Alligator mississippiensis: one gene and its partner. The protein of the gene in region 2 purifies or fractionates together with the protein of the main gene of each other region. This does not show direct contact. Links are inferred from orthologs where the notes say so. Each region holds a gene or a part of one and is shown on either strand. Other genes may lie near its edges.

Evidence for each region.
Region 1: the proteins of MIOS (region 2) and SESN2 purify together in Homo sapiens (affinity purification with western blotting; 5 studies listed by BioGRID and IntAct, with this or other methods). This does not show direct contact. The link is inferred for Alligator mississippiensis from reciprocal best matches to the Homo sapiens genes MIOS and SESN2.

Annotation. Positions count from the first base shown.
Region 1 is NC_081829.1:2,266,057-2,273,016, reverse strand, and holds the start of SESN2 (sestrin-2), read left to right. Parts: upstream 1-3,959; 5' UTR 3,960-4,158; coding exon 4,159-4,485; intron 4,486-6,960. UniProt on the Homo sapiens protein: Functions as an intracellular leucine sensor that negatively regulates the mTORC1 signaling pathway through the GATOR complex. In absence of leucine, binds the GATOR subcomplex GATOR2 and prevents mTORC1 signaling.
Region 2 is NC_081828.1:170,973,077-170,980,572, forward strand, and holds the start of MIOS (GATOR complex protein MIOS), read right to left. Parts: upstream 3,016-7,496; 5' UTR 2,880-3,015; intron 2,038-2,879; 5' UTR 1,964-2,037; coding exon 667-1,963; intron 1-666. UniProt on the Homo sapiens protein: As a component of the GATOR2 complex, functions as an activator of the amino acid-sensing branch of the mTORC1 signaling pathway. The GATOR2 complex indirectly activates mTORC1 through the inhibition of the GATOR1 subcomplex.

The DNA of each region.
Region 1 (6,960 bases), on a different chromosome or scaffold from region 2:
GCGAGGATGATGCATGAGATTATCCTGTAAGCTCAGAGGTGCCTAATGCACTTGGAGATTTGACACTAGTTAGCACAATTGCAGCTGCTCCTTTAAAGCCAAAAGAGAGATCGGGTGCTTTGAAAAATTAGGGCCATTAGGGGAACGGGGTGCCCCTGGCTAGGGAGAAGAGTTTGGTAGCATGATGTGCCTCCTGCTTCTGCGTTGTTGATTCAGATTCAGACCTGGGGCAGTAGTGACCCTGCACGGTGCCCGTGTCCTCTCTGGTTGGTGGTCTGTACACAAGTCAGCGTGGGGCTCCTGATGGAGAAGTATCTGTTACGAGACCACTCGCCCCTCCAGCTACTGGCAACACGTGTCCGTTCTCACAAAATATACCATACGGCGAAGGGCAAAAGAGGGAGAACTCCCCTTCCCTTCTCTGGGAGCCACTTCCAGCTCAGGTCTGAGGCCTCATGGAGAGAGGCGTTTGCCTTGCTGCTGGCATTACTGCGTCCATCGGGTGAATAAAAGGGATACCATCCTTCAGGACCCAGCTGGCACTATTTGCCAATGTGATGCTTGTCCAGAGCATGTCAAATCTACTGCAATTCAACAGGAGACAGCTGAGGGGAGAAATAGAGGGTGGCATGTTCAAAGCTTCTAGGGGATGTGGGTGCAAAAGGGGCATTGAGATTAATGGAAACTGTGCATCTCACCCTCCTAGGCAGCTCGGGACATCATGGCTGCAAGAGAAGCCGAAGCGGGATGATTCTGGAAGCATTTAGACCATCGTCAGCCCAGGGCAAGTCAATTAATGAGACTGAGCCTCAGTTCCCCATTTGTACCACGGGGAAATAGCAGTGCCCTACTTTGCAGTGGTGGGGGAGGATGCAGACTTGAGCTGGAGAGGACATAAATTCATGTGATGATGGATTTTGAAACGTGGCTTTGTTCTGCATAGGACAGAAACTCCCAAACACGAAGTTAAAGTCAAACCAAACCTCCATTTGGGTGGATGTGTTTTGATTTGACTTTGCATTATAATTTGTAATACGACACACAATTATTTTAAAATAATTGCACAACAGAAACTGCAAACATTGATTTCAAAATGAAGGATCTTGACATTATCAGAATTGTGGTTTGTTCCCAGTTTTCTTCTGAAGCAAAATTCCAGCTCATCAACTTAATTTCACAACCCGCTTTGATTCTGTCAGAGCTGCCCGTTCCGGTGGTAGATGGTGCTGCTGAAGTTTCCTGCGCGGCTCGGTTCAGATACAGGACAGGCTGTGAGTAATTCAGTGGCCACAACCATCTGTGCCACACAGAAATAAGCTTGGTGGGAGTAACATTGAAGCGGATCAAATGCTTTCCAAACAGGGTGAGCTTGTAACGGGGCATCGAAGAGGAAGGAAGAAGATTTAGCCAAAAGCAAGGCCTGATTGTGCCTTGTCAATTATTATTTCAGTTTGCATCATGTAAATAATAGACAAATTGGGCACAGAACTTAACCCTCTTCTTGGCTGTCTCGGGTGTAGGGTAGGTGACAAGTGTGCTGTATGGGGAGCCGATAGGGTTTTGGAATAAGGGGCATTTCACGTTGCAGACAAGCCATCCCAAAAATTACATTCCCATTTCAGCTCGGAGCAATCTTGAGCACAGGTATGTGCTGCCGACATGCCGCTCATTCTTCCCTGATGGCCAAGTCCAGAGAAGCAGCAGGTGATGGTCTGTCTGATTAGGAAAGCACAGGGCTTGGCTCCTGCTGCTTTTGAAGAGCAAGCTCTGAAGCCTGACGGGGAAGGTCAAAACACCCTTGGCACCTTCGAAGGTGTTTTGCAACCACTGGGTCACAACCTCTCTGCAAATGGGGGAGGAGGAGTCTCGTCATCAGGCAGGCGAGGGGGTTGCGATTGAGAAATGTTAGTGCAAAGCAAACACAGGTGCCAGGATAACTCGGGGCCGGCTGAAATCTCCCTTGTTTGTGAAGTCAAATGCAGTGGCTGGGGTTGCCTTATAGCAGCTCATCATGCTTGCATTGTTTTCATTACATAGAAAAGGGAAGAAAGGCCATGAAGATGTCTAGCTTTGAAGTGTCACCCACCCAAAAAGGTTGTGAAAGATGGTTTTAGATCATCAAGTCTGTCCGTGAGTTCTGGGGTCCTTTGTGGATGCGTGCGTGTGTGTTTTCGTGCCTTTTTGGAGGACCCGACGCTTTTGAGAGAGATGCGCGTGTCTATCCTGCAGACTGCAGTGCAGCGTACAATAAAACGAGGTTAGCGCCGGTACTGGAAATAGTCTTGGGGCTCAACAGGGACTGACTTCCCCTGCTTCTAGCTGAGTTTCATGCTGCTACTTGTACACGCCTTCCAGGACCCAAGCTGGCTCACTGAAAGCCAGCTTGTGTGTCTCTGCCCTGCACTGCGGCATAGGCATCCCGGCGTTTTAACCAAGGTCTTCTACCTGAAATAAAACGAGCGCGTGCTGTGCACAACGCTACCCTGAATACGTGGAGCTGCTCAGCTGTTAAAATCTCCCAGGTATCAAATCTCACGGATGGATATTTCCATCCTTCATGGTTTCTTAGGAGCACCAAGTGCACAGCTGTGAGAGTCCAAACGGGGGCTTTTAGTTTCATAGTGGAGATGGGGAAGATTGTGGGATTGCCCATATATATATATGTATATAAAGCTAATGTTTTTAAAGCTTTGTCAGTGTGAGAGCAAGCTAACCCGCACTTGGGTTCTTAATCCCCAAGGCTTTGTCACCAAAGAGAGCTGAGGCAGTGAAAGCTTCATCCCATATTTGTTCCTTTCAGCTGCTTCCTATTGATTTGCAATAAAGGGGATAGGCTTTGGACAAGCAAGCCGGTGGCAAAATGACACCGTGATGAATGTTTCCTCGGCTTGGGTGCCCCGCGCTGTGTGGCAGCCATAGCAGCACATGCCACGATCCTTTCCAGTCGCAGAAGCTGAACAGGATCGGGCCAGGTCAGTATTTGACCGGGGACCTCCTAAACGCTGCAGATGTTGTCAGGGACTCGGGAGGAAGAAACTCTTCCCTGTGACTCAGGATTAAACGAGCATTTCCAAGCGCAGCGTGAGCAGCGCAACGTGCTGCAAAAGCGATGCACCGAAGATGCAAACCAGGCCCATTTAAAATATGATCTCCCTGTGAAAGCACGGGCTGCCAGCGTCTGTACCTCCACCGAGAGGTGGAGCTGTCTTTTCCACTTGGGCGAGGCTGTCGTCTCGCTCGGATATTGCGTTGTTGCCTCCGATAGAGGCTGGCAGAGGAGGGGGCAGGAAGGAAACGAGTCCTGCCTGGGAGTGCTGGAATCCTTGCTGGCCCCCACCGAGCCCTGTGCCGGCTCGAGGCGAGTATTACACCGTGCATGATGCTCACTCCTCTCTCAGGCTCCTTTTGCATGAAGCTGGCATGTCTCTCGCTGCAGGGCTCTTTCTGCTGCCGGCAGGGCCTGTCCTGCCCCCTTGGCATGTTCTCAGTGCCCTGCCCCGAACGGCAGGCGCCAGACCTGGACCAGCTCGGTCTCCCCAAGGCCCTGCACCCAGGTGACACCCCCTGCCTTCTGCTCCCTGCTTTCCCCCTGTACCGACGGGGCTTTTGGTTACAACATCACGCTAGGAGCTCATAACTAACGAGAAACAGGGATCCTCTGAGATGGGGCATCTATGGGGCTGGGGGGAGGTTACATGTGGACAGTGTGGCCCCCTCCTCGGAAGTCCTGCAGGCCGTGGGGCTGGCAGCGCAGAGGACTATGTCTCCCAAAATGTCCTGCTTGGCTCTGGGCTCCGTTTACCTGTGCCGTGGTGCTGGTTTTGCTACCCGATGGCCGGGCAATCCGGTTGCATCAGCTAGGGCTGCTTTCTCGGGGTGATCACGTTGCATCTGCTTGGGATGCTTTCTCAGCCTGCCCAGGCCTGGCCTGACTTGTCCGTCTGTTTGCTTTGCAGAGCACCCAACCGGCTGGCTGAGAGGCAGGAGCTCGCCTTGGGACTGAGCCAGGGGCGGCCGGACCGTGGCGTGAATGGGCCTGCAGCTTTGGAAACTCCCTGTGAAGCAACCGGGAAACCAGCGCCGGCTGACTGGGGGGAAGGCAGCCTCCAAGCCTGGGCCCAGACGAGTCCCCTGTGACTTCCCCGTGGCTGTGCTGCAATGATGGACCACGGGGAAGCTGCGGATGGTGGCACCCCTGTGCCCAGTGCTGTGCCGGCAGGAGAGCAAGGAGCTGTGGCTCCCAGGGGCCTGGATCCTGGGAGATGGGTGGGGTTGTACAGTCGAGGCGAGAGGACCAGAGAAGAAACGATGGATGCGCTGGGGCGGGAGCTGCTGAGCGGCATCCCCAGCACTGGCCCGTCCCAGGGGGAGACGGAGGAGTCCCCGGGCCTCCACCGGACATTGCTGCTGCTACTCCGGCTCTCCCAGAGCTGCCCCTTTGGAGAGACCCAAGAGAAGTGCTCCCAGCTGCTGCAGGCTCTCCAGGTAAGGTGGCCGGGCAGCTCTGGGCACCAGCTGGGTTGCAAGCACACGTCAGCAGCATGATTGCAACATCACTGCACACGTGATGTGCATGATTACGAACATCACTGCACACGTACAGCCCCCTGGTTCTGCTCCTGGCATGGCCGCTACCCCGCCGGGTGTCCTTAGGCAAGTCGCTTCCTCAGTTTCCCCTCCTATACACGGCCTGCCGTGTCTGTGCAGGAGAGCCTGTCTCTCCCCAGGGGTCTGTGCGGCTCGTGGCCCAGTGGAGCCCAGCCTCGGGTCAGGCACCTGCACAGACGTCAGCAGTCACAACAGCTGTCGTGCTGCAGCGGGATGGTTTTGTGCAGTCCTTTGTACCAGGAAAACACCTGGTGTCCTGCTGGAACCGGGCATTGCTCCCTGGCTCATAGGGCGCAGAGCTCCCGTACCCCAGGGCAGCCCCCATACCCCGAGATCGCAGCTTGCACAGCCCTGGGACCAGCCCCAAAGTGGGTGCAGCTGGTTGCAGGGGAGCTGGGATCCTTTCTCCCCATCCTCTTTGCATTGCTCATGGTCTCTGTGCAGTGGGAAGCAAAAGATGTGGTGTTGCTTTAGGCTCCCCCAGCATAGGTACTGGGCTCAGTCTGGCCCAGCATCAGCACACAGCCAGATGCACAGGGGAGCAGGGAGGCCTGGCGTTGGCTGAGGACACGGGACCAACTCCCTGCTCAGCTGAGACCTTGACATGGGCCCGGTGGTGTAGGGCTGTCTCCTGCACAACCACTGACCTCTGCATGACTCCACTTATCTGCTTGGGAAGATGAAGGGCTGATTCACCCCTGAGGCTCCAGCTGGCCAGTCCTCCGGCCAGTGGCTGCCTAAATGTCTGTGGGAAGTGGTGGAGAAATCTGCTGCCCTGGTATCAGATGCTCTTTGCCCTCCCTGGCTTTGTACTGTATCCCCCCATGGGGACACTCCCTGCAGCTGGGAGAGCCCTGTAGATGGGAGGATAGAGCCTGCCGCCTCTCCCAGAGCACTGGTGAGCTCTGAGCTGGGTGCCATGTGCTGGGTAAGGGATGCCCTTTGGTCCCTGCATCACCAGGTTGCTCTGCAGAGCAGGTGCAGTGGCTGCTCCAGTGCTAGCTAGCAGCAAAGGCAGGCAAGCGGGGGGAAAAAAGAAACCCTCTGATGGGTCAGTCCCTTCAAGCTGGCTCACAGGCACGATGCTCAGCAGACCATCCAGGTCACAGCTCTCTGTGACCTTGCTCAGAAACCTCCTCCCCTGTGCGCAAGGATAGCAGCATCCTTGCAGCTGAATCCAGATGAGAGGAAATAGGGAAGTGACTGGAGAAAGGAGCCCTCCAGGGTGCTTTCCGCTGCCCAGAGAGGAGTTACTGTACATTGCATGGTCAGTATGAGTGTTTTGTGCCACATCCGCTGTGCTTGGATGCGACAGCCCTCGGGGCTTGTATCTGTCGATCTACATTGGTAAAAGATGGAGGCAGCTAAATACCAGCATCGCTTATCCCCATCGCAGACAGTACATGCTGTACTGGTTTAACTGGGGAGGTTGTAGTAGTTTTAAGTAATCATCCTGTTACACACCTGAAAACTTTAACACCACGGAGGTTGCTTTGAAGCAAGCCCCCGACCTCTCCTGTATCAGAAGCCAGAAAACGTAACCCCATTCCCTCTGTGTGGCTCAGCCACGTGGATTTGGCTAAAGCGCCTTCCAGAAAGGCCTCCAGTCTGGATGTCTTGAGCAGTACAGAATACACCACTTTTATTATAAGAGTGAATTGCTGTTGCTATTTAAACAAAAAAAAATCCGTGCCGTTGTTTGCACTGTAACTTTGGCAGGCAGACTGGATTCCAGAGAGCTCAGACACGAGTTGTGGCAAGCTCTTTCTGGACAGAAGCATGGCTGGTTTTCAAGCTGATGGCGTGGCTTGAATATCTGCAGGGCATTTGGTTGGGAGAAGCGGTGTGATTTCAAGAGGAATCCGTTGCGGGTGGTTTTAAGATGGAGCCGGCTCCGTTTATACAGCAGGAGTTGGACTGGAGAGCCCTCAAATGTCCCTCCTAGCCCTATTGCCCACGTTGCTCCTGGGGCACCACGCATCCGTGAAGGAGGCCCCGCAGCCCACCCCGCTCTGTGCTGGCCAGGATTCGCTCTTCCAGTGCTCATCAGTCAAGGGACTTGCCCCAGCGAGTTGGTAGCAGAGTCACTAGGCCATGCTGTAACCACTAGGCCATGCATCTTTCCTCGCGCTGCTGTTGGTTGGACTGGGAGGTTGCTGCGAGGGGTGGGAGGGCAGGATGGGGGCCATGAGGGATGGTGTGACATGGGGTAGGTAGTGTCAGCTTGGAGGAGACAGAGGCTTTGGGAGCCAGCCCGTCCAAGGGAAAAAGTGTTCTTCCCCACCCCTGGCAACAGCCCTGGAGGCCCAGGGGGCTGGGCAGAGATAATCAGAGAGGCCCGCTCTCGTTAGC
Region 2 (7,496 bases):
CAAGCCCTTACTTTGTTTAGTATTATAACAGTATTACTGTGCTAGTGTATTTCCTCATTTAGACAAACCTTTAGTGAAAGTAAGCAGGGGACAAGGAATATCCAGTTTCCTCTCTATTCTGCCAAAGTGATAGTTAAAAATATGACACTAAATGGACTAGTTTCCATTTAAAAGATTATATAACTATCTAAAAAATAGGCAGCATTCAGGGTACATTTTTGATTGCTAAATATTTAGTACTTTTAGATTTTTCATCTTCAAAGTCCCTTTCAAATATTAGTTATCACAACTCAAGCTGAGGAACTGACATATCACCAACAGCAATGGAAGAGTTACAGTTAAAGAAAAAAAGACACAGTATTTATATAAATTAAATAAATGCTATTCTGATTATGCAACTAGGTAAGCATATTTTGAGGTATCCCAGCTGGTTAAGGAGACAGACTTTAAAACATACATCCTCCAATAATTTTTTTCTATCTGCCTGAAAAGTAGAATTTTTCATTCCCTGCATTCCCAGTGTTCATAGAGTATTGCAGTGTCCCACACTGTTTGAACTTTATGCTCTTTATGTATTTAATATATAACATAAACAGTTTACAGAGACTAGAAGGCTCCTTTGCAATTCTCTCCCTTTTCTACAGCTGTTTACATCTGAAAGGATATAATGCAGAGTGTACCAAAGCGACTTCAGCTGAGGATCTTCATTTCCAGCTAGAAGATGATTTCTCCAGACCTGCTCAGTATCGAGGCCATACCTGGATAAAGCTCTCAGACGCATTTTGGTGGCTATATCTTTTTCTAAAGAACTAGCTTTTCCTTCCTCTGTGCATTCATACAAGTGTCGGCCACATGCCCACATTAAGGAAGTTACTGGACTCCATGCCAAAGAAATCCTTTCAAAGACAGTGAAGTCAGACATCGCTCTGTTGGGAGTAACAACTACCATTCGATTTTGACTTGTAGGATGCCACGCAAAGGAAGCAATGTAATTGTCACATGGCTGCACACTTCTTTCAATGATTGTAGGCTCTGTTTCATCTCCAATAGGCGTGGGAGTATGCTGCATGTCATACAATCTAATGATGTTACTATCCCTGGTTAAAGTAGCTAGGAGTCCAGTTCTTGTTGGACACCATGCTACTTTTGTTAGGGGCTTTGGTTGCTCTGTCAGGGTCAAAACAGGTTTTTCAAATTTTCTGAGGTCCCATATGGCAACCTGGCCTTCATAGAAAGAAGCCACACGATCATGGAAATGCGGGTCTACAGTTACCCCCTGGACAGCCTTAGTATTTACAAACATCTTTTGGCTTGTGTTCCTAAGGTCAAAGATAGCCAGGTTTCGGTGCATTCCAGCTAAAAGAAGCTTCTGATCCCGTGGAAGCCAACAAAGAGAAAGACAAGCATCATTCTGTCCCAGTTCATAAAGTGGCTTTGTGACTACCAGCCCTGCTTCAGTATCACCAGCTGAAAGTCTTACTTTCTCTGTGGCAACTGCAGTCTCTGGAGTGTATTTGCTACTGATATCCCAAATCAGTACTGAAAAGTCAGCCCGGTGTTTATCTAGGCCAGCAGCAAGCCAGTTACTGTCCAGTGGATTCCATGCTAGGGTATTACATTGTCGGGCATGTTTTGGAACAAATTCTTTGCCTATCAAGTCTTTGGATTTTGAGTTGTGATCCTGTCCAAGGCTGGTAAGAACAACTCTGCCATTGGCCTGTCCAACAGCTAGGAGACATTCCGGATCGTATTTAGGATACCAAGCCACACATTTCATGTAGGGTGTGTCTGAGTTTATTGATAACAATGTAGCAGCAGTTTCTTCTGACAATCGCAAAGATCCTGCTTTGGGTTCCGAACTCACAGCAGACTCAATGAGGTAGAGGCTCAGTTCAGAATCGCATACAACAAATCGATCAACGTGGTGTGGAGCCCACAGAATATCAGGCTTGGAGCCACTCATGCTTGCTATACAATCAGCAGACCAGGCTTACAGTGGTGAAGGAAAAAATCAAGTGACATCCATTGACAGGAAAACTGTGAACAAAGGAATTTGTAATAGTGTTAGAGAATACAGACTCCTTCAACTGTCTACAGCATCTTAAGAGGCTAGGACAAGTAGGGCACGGTTTAGAGTTCTTTCTAATGCAAAGATTTAGAAATGTATGTTAGAGATAAATGTCAAAAGCTCTTCTGACATCACCTCAAGGCCCCATCTTCAACCTTGCCCTGCCTGATATTGACACAGTATCTCCTGGGGGGGAAGAGAGGGGGAAATCCATCTATTCAACCTTGAATTGAAAACAAGACTCGTCACTTGTACAGCCTCTCTCATATTACTTTCTTGTGTTTCTGTAAGAGACATGACACCGGTAACATTGTCTGGTTTATCTATCAAGGCTCTTCCAGCACACATGCAAACTGCTCCCAAAGTGTGGGAGGTACCAGGGCCAGTTGAAGCCTTGGTACAGTGCCAGGGTGGGGACAGGAAGCTGCGCCGGTTTCATCAGTGCGGACCAGCTGGAAGATAACTGGGCAGGGTCCTAGTTACAGTCTGGAAACATGCCTCCCCCGAACAGCCCTGGCTTGGCCACGAGACTATCGCACTCAGCACGAGACGCCGGCACCGAGCGTGCGTTTGCTGCGGTTTCACGCGGCCTCAGTGTAACCGGCGACGAGGCCCCTCGCCTGGGCTAGGTCCAGGTCTGGGCGGCGCTCGGCCTCGCGGCTCGGCCGTGCCCGCGCTCCGCTCCTCCGCAGTAACCTCGGTACAGACGCGCCCGAGAATCCCCCCGGCGCCAGGCGGGGCCGGCAGGATGCCGCGGGGATGGGGGTCAGCCAGGCGGGGAAGCCTGGAGCCCGGCCCCCAGCGCACTCACCCTGCTCCCGCCGGGCCCCGCTACGCCGCGGAGCAAGCGAGAAACACCCACAGATACTTCCGGCTTGGGGCCGGAGGATAAACCCGCTACTACTTCCGGAGCGAGGGGAAGGGAAGTCCAGTCTCCCCTTCCGCTTCCGGGTTTGGAGAGGGGGAAGGGGAGGCCTGTGGTACTTCCGGTTTCGGGGGGAGGGAGCTCTCCTTCAGTCCGCGGGGAGGAGGGTGGGGCTTGTGGAGCCTTCTGACCTTATTTCCGTGGGGGCGGGGCCGGCCCTCGGATTGGGTCACGGGCTGGTCCGTCGGGGCCCGGAGCGAGGAAGCGGGTCCGGGTAGGCCCGGGCTGCGCTCCGTGCCCTGGGGGGAGGGCTCCCGCCCGCCCCGTGCCCGAGCTGCTGAGCTGTCCCTGTCCCGCTGCGGGGCGCGCAGGACCCGCCTCGTCCTGGCTCTTAACAAAATCTTGGGACGAGCAGGCCCGCTTAAGTCGGAGGAAGATAATAGGCAGGAGAGGGGGCCCCTACAGATACAGGGTTTCCCCTGGTTGTCTTCACTCCCCTGGTCACAGCTGTGTCCTCTTTTGCCTCTGGCTGTGCAAGACAGGCGACTCCTTTTCTTAGTTGTAGATAACCTAGTAGCCCTCCACTGTGCTGGCTTATTTCCTTGGGAAACTCATTGTCCAGCTGAATCCGCAGTGGCGCTGGCCCAGATCGAGTGTCCAAGTATTGTGCCTAGCAGGAACAACAGCTGCCCTTTGAAACCTCTTTCCCTCCGCTGAACGAACTCCCACTTCATTCACAGAAAGTCTCTTGCCTTCAGACAGTGGATCCGCGCCATCAAAATATTGTTGAGAGGCATTGAACAAAACATTGACAAAATCCAGATGGCTATGTGTCATCTGTAGGAAAATAAACTGAAAATGTTTCTTTTATGAAGGAGGCATTTTAAAATGACAGGCAGATAGGAAAAATGTCTGGACTCTTGGCAAGAAAGTCTGTTACACAGACTTGCTCCATTAATTTTGTCACGTAGTCCAAGAGAAAGGGGGGATATCCAGAAAACAAAGCGTGTCCTGTGTACAAAATAGATATATGACAGTAGCTGCAGGTGGTAAGTTTCCCAATACTAATGAACTTCCCAAATGGTTCTGTGGTTTCTGTGTGGGCGTTGAGGGATGACTTCCTTTGCACAAAATGCAGTCTTCAGAAGTCCAATAAAATCGATGGTCAAATAAAAAGGACTGACATCATCATACAAGACAGGTAAGCATCTCAACTTGCCGGGCACAAGAGCAAAGAAAAAGCTATCTGTTGACTAGTCCTATTTTTCTTAAACTTGGCTTAGTGACCAACAGGGAAAATATTTAGAATCGTAAGAAGAGTAGAGCTTGAAGGAACCTCAGGAGCTCATCCAGTCCAACCACCCCCCGAGGCTGGAGCACCCCTATAACAAGTGTTTATCTAACCTAGTAGTTCTCAGCCTCATTAGACTCGAGACACCCCTCAGAAAAGCCCACTCTTAGTTTTCACCTGGGTTTTCTTTTACTACAGAAAAATGCTTCTGTTGCAAATAACAGACCATGACAGATTAGACTGTCTTTGGCACTATGGATTCTTATTTGACATCTGTGGGTTTATCTTGTGAATCCTGTTTGCACACGTAACAGTAATAACATCATGTTGTAGCACCCTGGTTGCAAATCACTGGTCTAATCCAACCTTAAAACTACGACCCTCTTGCACAACTACCAGGTACAGTTCCTGAAAACATCAAAAACCACCCTAACTTGGCACATGTAAAGCAGAGGGATGAGCACATTGTCAGTGTCCTGCTACTGCAAGGACAGAAAGTAGTTTGTTAAAATGCACTCAAGAGATGCAAGGGTGTAGGTTGTAGCTATGTTGGTCTAAGGACATGGGCAGACAAGGTTCTTTGGGTAAATCTGATATCTTTTATTAGATCAACTCAGTTGGAAAACATTCTTCTTTGCAAGCTTTTGGGCACAAACACCCTTTGTTAGGCTGTGGAGGCATCTGTAGTGGGTGTGTGCTCTTCCTGGATGGAATGAGTAGTAAAGAAGCCAGAGGCTGACTGCCTGCCTTGCATGCATGCCAGCCTTTGGCTTCTTTACTATCCCTTCCATCCAGGAAGAGCACACACCGACTGGAGATGCTTCCTCAGCCCGACAAAGGGTGCTGGTGCCCAAAAGTTTGCAAAAAAGATTTTTTTTTCCAACTGTTTTGAGTTGGTCTAATAAAAGATATCAGATTTACCTAAAGAACCTTGTCTGCTCAAGAGATCCAAGAAAGGGGACCATACTGCATCAGAGGAAGGCAACCTCCCTTCCCCTGCCCCAGTCCGTGCAGATTTGATCATGGGGTTAAATTATTTCCTGATACCAAATGATTTTACTCCTGAGCTAAGGAGTAAGACAGTCTAGCTGAGAATCTTGTAGTTTCAGAAGAAATCAACAAAACATATTTCTGTATTCTGCTTTCTGCATTCACTTAAACCAAGAGTTGTATGTAAAGATATCCTTTGGGATATGAGTCCATGTGGTGGCTCTATGGAAACATTAAAAGATCAGCCACAAACCCTGTTTGATGCAGAAAAAAATGAGAAAAGTTAGGATTATTATAGAGGATCCTTAATTTATGCTTCAAGGAAAAATGCCTATTTAATGTGTTTTCCATTTTAACTGCACCTATAAGGATGAAGATTCAAGTAAAACCATAGCGAGTAATATCACTTGGATATTTGTACTGGAAAAATTGATTAATTTCATCCTGCCAAACACTTGGCAAACAGAAGTTGTTCTGATAGTATCTGCCTATTTGTATGGTACAAATAATCTTGGTAAAAATATAAGGGATAATTATTTTGAGACGATGAAAAAAACAACTTGGGCAGACAGGAAGTGGACTAGCAGTAGAGAGGGATAGACAAAAGTATGTTGTTTTGTCATTGCTAAATAAGCAAATGTTGATAAATACTGTTTACACACTCTCTCATGATTTTGTGTGTCCTAGATCATGTTTCTTTGATGTCATTTTGTTTTGGGAGACTTGTTTCTAGTGTTCTGTAAAATCATAAATCATATTAAGTCAGTAAATGTTAGTTAAAAAAATGTTTTTTAAAAAGAGAAATCTCTTGTGGTTTGCTGCACCTGCAAATGACTCAAATGATTTAATTTATTAAGAGGAAAGACAACACCCAATTTCTTCAGTTGCAGCTAAACATTTTCGTCTTGCAACACAAAATGTTGTATGGTTTTGATTAGCAGGATATAACAATTTCTGACCCGTCTCTCTAATGGGAAGTACCAGATCCTGGACTGTCCATTTTGAATTACACACAGTCACCTTTCCCTCCCCCCGCTACCCTCCGTCCTTAGTATGGTTGAATGCAGATTAATTCATCCACCCAAGAAAAGGACCTGCATGTCAATGAAGACCATGGTTCAAAGTGGACATGTGACCAAGGCAGCAAATAAGATGTAGGGTTATCATATGTCCAGGTTTTACTGGACATATCTTCTTTTTTGGCCCCCTGTCCTTGTGTTGGGATGGGTTTTTGAAATGAGAGCAAATGTTCCAGTTTTTGCCTTTGCCTCTGCTTTCTCACGCTGGCTGTTTGGGGCTGAGAGCAGCAGGCAAGGTGACTGGCTGTCAGGGGTCATGTGGCCTGCATGCAGGCCCGGCACGCTCCCAGGTAAGAGAGACAGATTTTGTGTGTGTGTGTGCGCGCTGCGTGGACAGCAAGGCTGGGGGGGGGGGGGGGCAGGGGCTGCAGGTCAGGACTAAGGTACAGGCACCAGCAGGGCTGGGGGTGGCAAGGGCTTGGGAGTGAAGAGCAGAGGCAGGACCCAGGCATATCACTGCCCCCCCCCCCCAAACATATAACCCCTCACCTCCACAGGTGTCCTCTTTTTTGGTACTGGAAATATGGTAACCCTATATTGCTAGGACATGTATGAAACTGATGTAATTTTTTTCCTTGTATTTTTATCCTGTCCATTATACATATCAATAATGAAGCCTCATCTGAAATGCTGCATATCACAAAATATATTATAGAATTTGAGAGGATTTAGAGAGGTGACAGAAATGATTACAGGCAAAAAGAAGTTCTCATATATAGACAGACAGAAGACTGGAATTGTTGACCTTCCAAAGGAAAGTTTAATGTACATATTTAGTAGTGAATGGACTAGATGAGGTAGATAGGGAAAACAAATACACCCTGTCTAGTAATGCAAAAGCAAAGGAATATTCAATTAAACTTAGAGATGGGAAATTAAAAAATTATAAAAGGAAATATTCTCTCATGATATTTTCTCATCACGTCATTAGATTGTGGAACTTACAGACACAGGGTGTCGTTAAACCAGGCACTTTGCCAGATTCAGAAAGGGTTTAGGCCAGTGTTTCCTAACCCGTGTGCCATCAGACATTAACAGGTGTGCCGTGAAATCTTGGGCGGGGTGTGGCTTCTGGCTGGGCATGGCTCCAGGCAGTACTGCCACTGCAGCTGTGCACCTGCACCACACCCTGGCCAGCCCTGTGCCACCCCCCTCCCACTCCGCATCCGGCCAGTATGCCATGGGCCGGAAAAGATTGGAAAA